Linked DNA regions of Saccharomyces cerevisiae S288C. Changing the gene in region 1 together with any one later gene gives a genetic interaction. Each region holds a gene or a part of one and is shown on either strand. Other genes may lie near its edges. The genes, in order: OM14 and NCR1.

The links.
Region 2: mutations in OM14 (region 1) and NCR1 together harm fitness more than expected from each alone (negative genetic interaction), as found in Saccharomyces cerevisiae (2 studies listed by BioGRID).

Annotation. Positions count from the first base shown.
Region 1 is NC_001134.8:679,049-682,054, forward strand, and holds OM14 (Om14p), read right to left. Parts: upstream 1,003-3,006; coding exon 992-1,002; intron 895-991; coding exon 501-894; downstream 1-500. Other genes in the region: glucan 1,3-alpha-glucosidase ROT2, read right to left, coding at 1-173; COQ21 (Coq21p), read left to right, coding at 1,314-1,514.
Region 2 is NC_001148.4:542,784-548,962, forward strand, and holds NCR1 (sphingolipid transporter), read left to right. Parts: upstream 1-1,847; coding exon 1,848-5,360; downstream 5,361-6,179. Other genes in the region: transcription factor TFIIIC subunit TFC8, read right to left, coding at 1-1,065; AEP3 (Aep3p), read left to right, coding at 5,703-6,179. UniProt on the Saccharomyces cerevisiae protein: Involved in sphingolipid trafficking. May recycle sphingolipids between cellular membranous compartments.

The DNA.
Region 1 (3,006 bases):
TCGGCGTCCACTTTGTAATAGCAGTGATGAGATTTGGCAATATTTTCTGCATAAACCCTGTTTCTATGGCAAAACCCAGATTGCGCACACTTCTTTAATAGATAGTCGGTAAACGCATGCGAAAAAGCGGTAAAGAAGACCAATTGGCATACGAGCCATTTCAAAAGGACCATGTTGCATACGGTTGATTCGAGACCGCTATTTTAAGATACGCAGAGCAATCAAATAACTCCAAGCAACATGTTCATTGAGTTATAGCTCTCAAGTGCCGTAGTGAGAAAATGTCGTGGTCCGGGTAAAACAAATTAAGGGTACTTGAAATGAAAAAAGAATGATAGTAGACAGAAAAGCTATTATATTATAGAAACTTATCACTTGACCGATGAAGAGGAAAGCACGTTTCCTTACAAATAAATCAGCAGTAATAGTTATAAAAATATATGTATATAAAGTGTGTGAGTGTGTGAGTGTGTGAAAGGATGTTATTAAATAGTATGTTATTATTTCTTGTCGTATCTGGAGTAGTATTTCTTTGAAATTATACCGTCCAGCGTCAAAAGACCCAGAGCGCCGGCGGTTGTTGCTAAGACTGTAGAGTTAGGTTTCCCCTTCAAGAATCTGGCGTTGTGGTTCGCATACCCGTTACATAAATAACATACCACTGAAGAATGCAGCAACAAGTTGACCAAGACAACGGGATTCTGAAGTTCTAAAAAGCATACTTTGGCAAAGTCTTGCGTCTTACTGACAAAAGCTTGGAGGTAGCCGCAAGCGACTGCTGATGCACTATTTAACCGTGCCTTCAGATATTCGATAGCGCATTCCTTCTTATTGTTGTGGTGGTGACCGTCTTCAGAGTCAGAATTTGGGCTAGCGTTACTGTCGTGTTTAGCACTGGGGAAAAGAAAGATGGTCATAGATGATATACGTTAGTCAAAAGAGAACCGGGAGAAAAGATTAGGCGATACGTTTCAGATATTAGTGTACATACGTTGCAGACATATTATGAGATGCTGGAGGTAGATGTTATGTTTCTAATTGTTGGAATAGGGTTACGTCGGCGGTTTCGGTTGAAGTGGGCACATTGATCGACACTTTATATACGCAGGGACGATTAACGGGAGAGGAGGTAGCGGCGGCGTCATTGGCCGCTGGCCCGGGGTAGTAGGGCAGGGAAAGGGGACGGTGAAAAAATAAAACGTAAGTGGGACAGCAGAGATTTGAGGAGTTGAGGCAAGAACAGAGGAGAGAACGAGAAAGCGGATAAGCAACAAAGGAAAAGGAAACAAGTAAAAAAAAAAAAAGAGACTAGCATGAGAAACGAATTATACCAGTTATGGTGTGTGGCGAGTGCAGCAAGAGGGGTAGCCAAGAGCTCATTCGTAAGGGCCAATTCGGCCATGTGTGAGTACGTGCGCACGTCCAACGTCTTGAGTCGCTGGACTCGGGACAGGCAATGGGAAGCAGCTAAGGCCCTATCACAACGGGTCAAGAAAGAGTATGCCGCCAATTAGTGCACACACATACATATATTTTATATACTTACATATTTGGTTGCGTGGTATATAGAATCTCTCCTTTCGCTTCATGAATGAACTCATTCATGCGAAGTCAAAGGAAAAAAAAAATAAAAAAATAAAAGAGCGAACGGGAAGACGAGAGAAACATCAAGCGACCAAAGTAAAAGTCAAGAACGACTCCACAAGTGCGAGGGTCGCGACGTCTCTAACTTTAAAAACAGGCGTCAACCATCAAGTCCGTTTCTTGATGCCGCCGGCATTCTTCAAATCCCTCCAAAAAAAACGCCTCTATGACATAGGCGGTTAATAAAACTGGCCTTGAAACAACAGATGCAGTCATGGCTCTTCTCTTTTCCCAGCAAACGCCTTCCATTGCCTCCTTTTTTTCTCTTCCAGAACTCTCTCAGCAGTATTCTCACAAACACATCTCCTCCCCTTTAGCAAACCTCCATTTATATCCTGCGAGAAGAGCTCCTTCTCCTCAATGAGAAAATAAGCACAAAATAAACTGGGAAAAAAAATATAGTAAAAGACGCCAGCACGTTAACAATGGAACACTCTTATTGTAGACCAACCCCACCCTACACCCCCTCAAACCGAGGACACTTCAAAAGGAAAATCAACAACTTTGGCCGATACTTGGGGGATAAGCAAGCTTATCCTATTACATCAAAAAAAGAATCGTAAGACACCTTTCCTTGCAAACCAAAAATCATAACAAAGTCGAAAAACTTCCTCTTGCAGCGCCACCAGAAAAAGAAGACGAGCGAAGAAATCAACAATAAGAGCGCCCCATCCGCACTAGCACCCCATACCATAAATATTATCTCCCAACCTACTATAGCACCATTTCTTCCCATCGATAAAGAAAAACCAAATCCCGCGTTGGACATAAACGGCTCGGAAAGACAGGGAAGAGTATGAAGCAAAAAGCCAAACTAAGGGAGAAACAGAAAGCTAAAAAAAAGAAAATAGAAAACAACCAGAAGAAAACAAAAACAATAACCTTGAGCAACCGTCGTCTCAAAAACCAATTTCGAAAAACCATCATAAAAACGCCTTATGAAGAAACCATGAGCGAAGAAAAATAGCAGCAAAAAGTAGTGAGACCTGACATTAGCGGAAAACAACTTGCTTAAAAAGTCTCTTCCCGTCCATTTTATTATTTTGGGTGCCAAAAAATGTGTATTGTAACAAATTAAAAGGTAATGAGCCTCATTGAGGTCATTTCAGTTGTTACACTGAAAAGAACAGATACTACACTTGATCTAAGCCAAAAGGCAAAGAGATTCGTGGGGATTTAAAAAAAAAACAAGTAGAAACAAAATGAATAAATCTGATAACAAGTAAAGTACTCATCGATGAAAAAATGAATGTAGAGCCCTTTTTATATGTTTTCACCGAGTGGCCCATCGGAAACGGCAAAAAAAAAAAAAGAAAGAAAAAAGAAAAGAAACATAGAGCGTTGCTAGGTTTTTTTTGCCAC
Region 2 (6,179 bases), on another chromosome or scaffold:
AGCCACCCGTTCCATATCGTATACTATGGCTATTGAATAGCCGTCTGGAGAGAGAGATATTCCGTGTATGACAAGAGTTGTTTCATAATTATTGAATTCATTCCAAATTGTGCTCCATTTCTTGAATTTCTTCTCTAAGTAAGGCGCGATAATATTATCAGCCGTCACATGAAGTTCGTCTTCTAGTAAAACTTTATAACTAGTCTTATTGGACATCAATAATATCGTGCTCTCTTTCTCATGATTCAATGGGATTATATGAAAATTTTCGAGAGATCCTGTTTTCAAGCTAGAAATTGAATAATTTTTTAAATCTATCTTATGCACATATCCGGGACAAGTTAAAACCACCTTATAATCCACTATCTTTAAATCAGTAATTTTTCTTCTCGAAGCATTTTGTATCATTCTAGAAACGGGTTGATGAGAGGAAGCAGAAACTGTCATTGAAAATACAGAATTGTTTGAAAGCGCCGCTACAAGAACGTCTTCGTACCATACTATATGAGTGACCCAGTCTTTTGAGCCTGCGTCACTTAATCTAATACTACTCTCAAAATAAAATTCTGGAGTATTTTCTGAATTTTTGCGAATGCTAAAGAATTGAAGCTCACCGTCTTCATTACCAACCACGATTGATGATTCAATAGGATTCCATTCAAAACAATGGTAGGTTCTGCTACTTAAGTTTCCTTTTGAATCGAGATTTGTGAGCATTTTGTTATCTTTGAACACAGAAACATTACCATTATTGCTCAATACGGCCATCCAATCGTCTATTGGTGATGGCTTACAGACTCTGGGATAACAAACAGGTTGTGAATTTAATAACCCATTCTGTTGCGCCAGCTCGAAATCCAGTTTATTTTCAAATTCTAGCGGGAATTCTTTCACATGAAATAAATTCTTACTGTTGCAATTAATGTCTTTAGCATATTTTGGCTGCCCAATGCTAATATCAGGAAATGTGGTCAAATATAGAGTACCATCCCGAGCCCATGTTAAATTGTTCTTCCAATCCTCAAATTCCTTTCTATCTACCAATAAGTCCTTTAGAAGCTTCATTATGAATTGAATTGGCTTTCCTAACTCCTAACAAAGTTAGTCATGCTGCTTTTTTCATTATATATAATTCTGTCTAATCATTGTTTAGATCTCATTATTGAGAAAAGTGCGTTGCGCGTAAGAAACAGAATACACTTAAGGTGCGAAATGACGGAAGAAATACGCCATTTAAAGCCTTCCAATACGAAGCAAAACTTCAAAAGCAAATGCTGGGAAGTTGGATTATCTTTGGGAAGGTCTATTTCCTTTTTTATTGAAATAAATCATTCAGCTAATTGCATACCGTGGCTAATGTCACAACAGATGTAAGCAACAATTTAATCTTACATAAATGTGTTGCAGTTGTGGTATTTCGTAATATATACGCAATGATTCTCTCCTATTATTGAACTGCTATGCAGGTATTCGCTACATTGTTTTTCTACAGGCAGTCGTCGACATAAATAACTTGTATAATCATTTAAGCGCATCCCAGTAATTAACTATTACCGAACGATAGAGTAGTCAAGATATTCTCTTCCCATCACTAACATCAAGAGCGCCACTTTTTGGCAATTAAACTAGACTTCTGGATGGCGCTAGCCCATTACCTACAGTACTAAAGATTATTTGCGATATTCTGATAAAGAGCCTTGAACTTCTCGGGTGACCCCCTTAGCGTTTATATAGCGGGAGTGCCAAACGAGAGGAACATCAACAACCAGTATAACAACGTTCTTGTGTAGAAGATAACTAAATTCATCTCCAAAAAGAACAAGAGCAGAACTTCAATTAGTAAAACCATGAATGTGCTATGGATTATAGCACTAGTTGGCCAGCTGATGCGGCTCGTTCAGGGAACAGCTACCTGTGCCATGTATGGGAACTGTGGGAAAAAGTCAGTATTTGGAAACGAATTACCTTGCCCTGTGCCACGTAGTTTTGAACCTCCTGTTCTTTCAGATGAAACAAGCAAACTTTTGGTTGAAGTTTGTGGTGAAGAGTGGAAAGAGGTCCGTTATGCCTGCTGTACTAAAGATCAAGTGGTAGCACTGAGAGATAACCTACAAAAGGCTCAACCTTTAATTTCCTCATGCCCAGCATGCCTCAAGAATTTTAATAACCTGTTCTGTCACTTCACTTGCGCTGCTGACCAAGGAAGGTTTGTCAATATTACCAAGGTAGAAAAGTCAAAAGAAGATAAAGATATTGTTGCGGAATTAGACGTTTTCATGAATTCGTCTTGGGCATCTGAATTTTATGACTCATGTAAGAATATTAAATTTTCTGCTACCAACGGTTATGCGATGGACCTAATCGGAGGTGGTGCTAAAAATTACAGTCAATTCTTGAAGTTTTTGGGGGATGCTAAACCTATGCTTGGTGGATCCCCCTTTCAGATTAATTACAAGTATGATTTAGCAAATGAAGAAAAAGAATGGCAGGAATTTAATGATGAGGTTTATGCTTGCGATGATGCTCAATATAAATGTGCGTGTTCTGATTGTCAAGAGTCTTGCCCCCATTTAAAACCTTTAAAAGATGGCGTGTGTAAAGTTGGCCCTCTGCCATGTTTTTCCCTTTCTGTTCTGATCTTTTACACAATCTGTGCACTTTTTGCATTTATGTGGTATTATCTCTGTAAAAGAAAAAAAAACGGGGCAATGATTGTGGACGACGATATTGTTCCAGAATCAGGTTCCTTAGATGAATCAGAGACGAATGTATTCGAAAGTTTCAATAATGAAACTAACTTTTTTAATGGTAAACTCGCTAACCTATTTACGAAAGTGGGACAATTTTCCGTTGAAAACCCCTACAAGATATTAATAACCACTGTTTTTAGTATCTTTGTATTCAGTTTCATCATATTTCAGTACGCTACTCTTGAAACAGATCCAATTAATTTGTGGGTGAGTAAAAATTCTGAAAAATTCAAAGAAAAAGAGTACTTCGATGATAATTTTGGGCCATTTTACAGGACAGAGCAAATATTTGTTGTGAATGAGACAGGCCCTGTGTTATCATATGAGACACTTCACTGGTGGTTTGACGTTGAAAATTTTATTACGGAAGAGCTACAATCGTCAGAAAATATTGGATACCAAGATCTCTGCTTCAGACCAACAGAAGATTCTACATGCGTAATAGAGTCTTTTACTCAGTATTTTCAGGGGGCCTTACCAAACAAGGATAGCTGGAAAAGGGAACTGCAGGAATGTGGGAAATTTCCTGTAAACTGTCTACCTACTTTCCAGCAACCTCTAAAAACTAATCTTCTTTTCAGTGACGATGATATTCTCAATGCGCATGCGTTTGTTGTAACACTTCTATTGACCAACCACACTCAATCAGCTAATCGCTGGGAAGAAAGATTGGAAGAGTATTTATTGGATTTAAAGGTCCCCGAGGGCCTGAGGATCAGTTTTAATACCGAAATATCCTTGGAAAAAGAGCTTAATAATAATAATGATATCTCGACCGTTGCAATATCATACCTGATGATGTTTTTATATGCTACATGGGCCTTGAGGAGAAAGGATGGGAAAACTAGGTTGTTACTTGGAATATCTGGTTTACTCATAGTTTTGGCTTCTATTGTTTGTGCAGCCGGATTTTTAACTCTTTTTGGTTTGAAGTCGACATTGATCATAGCAGAAGTAATACCGTTTCTAATTTTAGCAATAGGAATAGATAATATTTTCTTGATTACACATGAGTATGATAGAAATTGCGAGCAAAAACCGGAGTATTCAATTGATCAAAAAATAATAAGCGCTATCGGGAGAATGTCTCCTTCCATTTTAATGTCATTGCTATGTCAAACCGGATGCTTCTTGATAGCTGCATTTGTTACAATGCCAGCTGTCCATAATTTTGCTATATATTCCACAGTTTCTGTTATATTCAACGGAGTATTACAGCTAACAGCGTATGTGTCCATTTTGTCTCTCTACGAAAAGAGATCCAATTATAAACAAATTACCGGAAATGAAGAAACTAAGGAATCATTTTTGAAAACGTTTTATTTTAAGATGTTAACGCAAAAGAGGCTCATAATCATTATCTTCTCGGCTTGGTTTTTCACATCTCTGGTTTTCTTACCAGAAATTCAATTTGGGCTAGATCAAACATTGGCTGTTCCACAGGATTCCTACCTGGTTGACTATTTTAAGGATGTTTATAGCTTCCTAAACGTAGGACCACCGGTTTACATGGTCGTGAAGAATTTAGATTTGACTAAAAGACAAAACCAACAGAAAATATGTGGTAAATTTACAACTTGCGAAAGAGACTCATTAGCTAATGTACTGGAGCAAGAAAGACACAGGTCAACAATTACGGAGCCATTGGCTAATTGGCTGGACGATTATTTCATGTTTTTAAATCCTCAAAACGACCAGTGTTGTAGATTAAAGAAGGGAACAGATGAGGTTTGTCCTCCCTCTTTTCCAAGTAGACGTTGTGAAACTTGTTTCCAGCAGGGTTCTTGGAATTACAACATGTCAGGGTTTCCTGAGGGCAAGGACTTCATGGAATACCTAAGCATATGGATTAATGCGCCTAGTGACCCCTGCCCTCTAGGTGGTCGTGCGCCATATTCGACTGCGTTAGTTTATAATGAAACGAGTGTGTCTGCGTCAGTTTTCAGAACAGCTCATCATCCTTTGAGATCCCAAAAGGACTTTATCCAGGCGTATAGTGATGGAGTTAGGATATCAAGTTCTTTCCCCGAACTAGATATGTTTGCATACTCGCCGTTTTACATTTTTTTTGTTCAATATCAAACTTTGGGACCATTGACGTTGAAGCTAATAGGGAGTGCCATTATCCTAATTTTTTTCATTTCATCTGTTTTCTTGCAGAATATACGCAGCTCATTCTTACTGGCTTTGGTCGTTACCATGATTATCGTAGATATTGGTGCTTTGATGGCCCTACTAGGTATCTCACTCAACGCTGTCAGTTTAGTCAATTTAATTATTTGTGTCGGTTTGGGTGTCGAGTTTTGTGTTCATATTGTTAGATCATTTACAGTGGTCCCCAGTGAAACCAAGAAAGACGCAAACTCAAGAGTTCTCTATTCCTTGAATACCATAGGTGAGTCCGTCATCAAAGGTATAACTCTAACCAAATTCATTGGAGTTTGTGTACTTGCATTCGCCCAATCGAAAATATTTGATGTATTTTACTTTAGAATGTGGTTTACACTAATCATTGTAGCAGCATTGCATGCTCTCCTATTTTTACCTGCTTTACTTTCATTGTTTGGTGGTGAAAGCTATAGGGACGATTCCATCGAAGCAGAAGATTAGCCATAGCAGATTATACTATATTTTACGTAGTGAAAAAATAGGTAAAAATTCGTTAATTATTCTGATGCCACACCAGAAAATCTGTGGGAAAATTTTTCGAGTCAGAAATGATAACACTAACACAGGCTTCGTTGTTATCGTGCATTGAAGTTAGATACTTCTACTATATTTAATCTTTAATAGTGTCATAAAAGTATTATTGGTTTCGGGCGAAAATCGTCATTTTCGCACACAGAACTTCAAAAGAGGAAAGGCCAAAAGAACTAAAACCGATTACTTCGGGGTGATTTTGTTCTGGCATCTTCTGGCACTCTTGGGCATCCTTAGCCATTTAGTATATTTATGAATACATTAAGGTGTTTGACACAAGCACTATCCAAAAGTGGGAGAGAAGCTCCAAAACTATATCAGAAAGTAATATTTCCAGGCCTGTTCAGAGAGGGTATACCAATTGCAAATGTCAAGAAAGTTGATGAAAAAATAATAGATAGCCCAACATCAACGTCAGTTAATGGAGAGGCAAAAAAAATAGTACGGCATGGTGTGAAGTATGAAAGGGAGCAAGTTAAGGAATACCTTTCAAGCCTGCCGACTTTAACGCTTTCTAGGAAACAAATTAGGGATGACTATGATGAGGAACGTGCAAAACGAATGTATATGTTCTCTAAACAAACGAATTCCTCGAATAAATTCCAGAAACTTCTTACAGCAAAGTCTCAAGAGTTTACTAGAGAACTATTGACGCTACTGATAGATTGCACATCGAATGAGAAGAATTCAGGGCCAGAACGCTTCACTCGTAAGTTTCTTAAGTTTAGT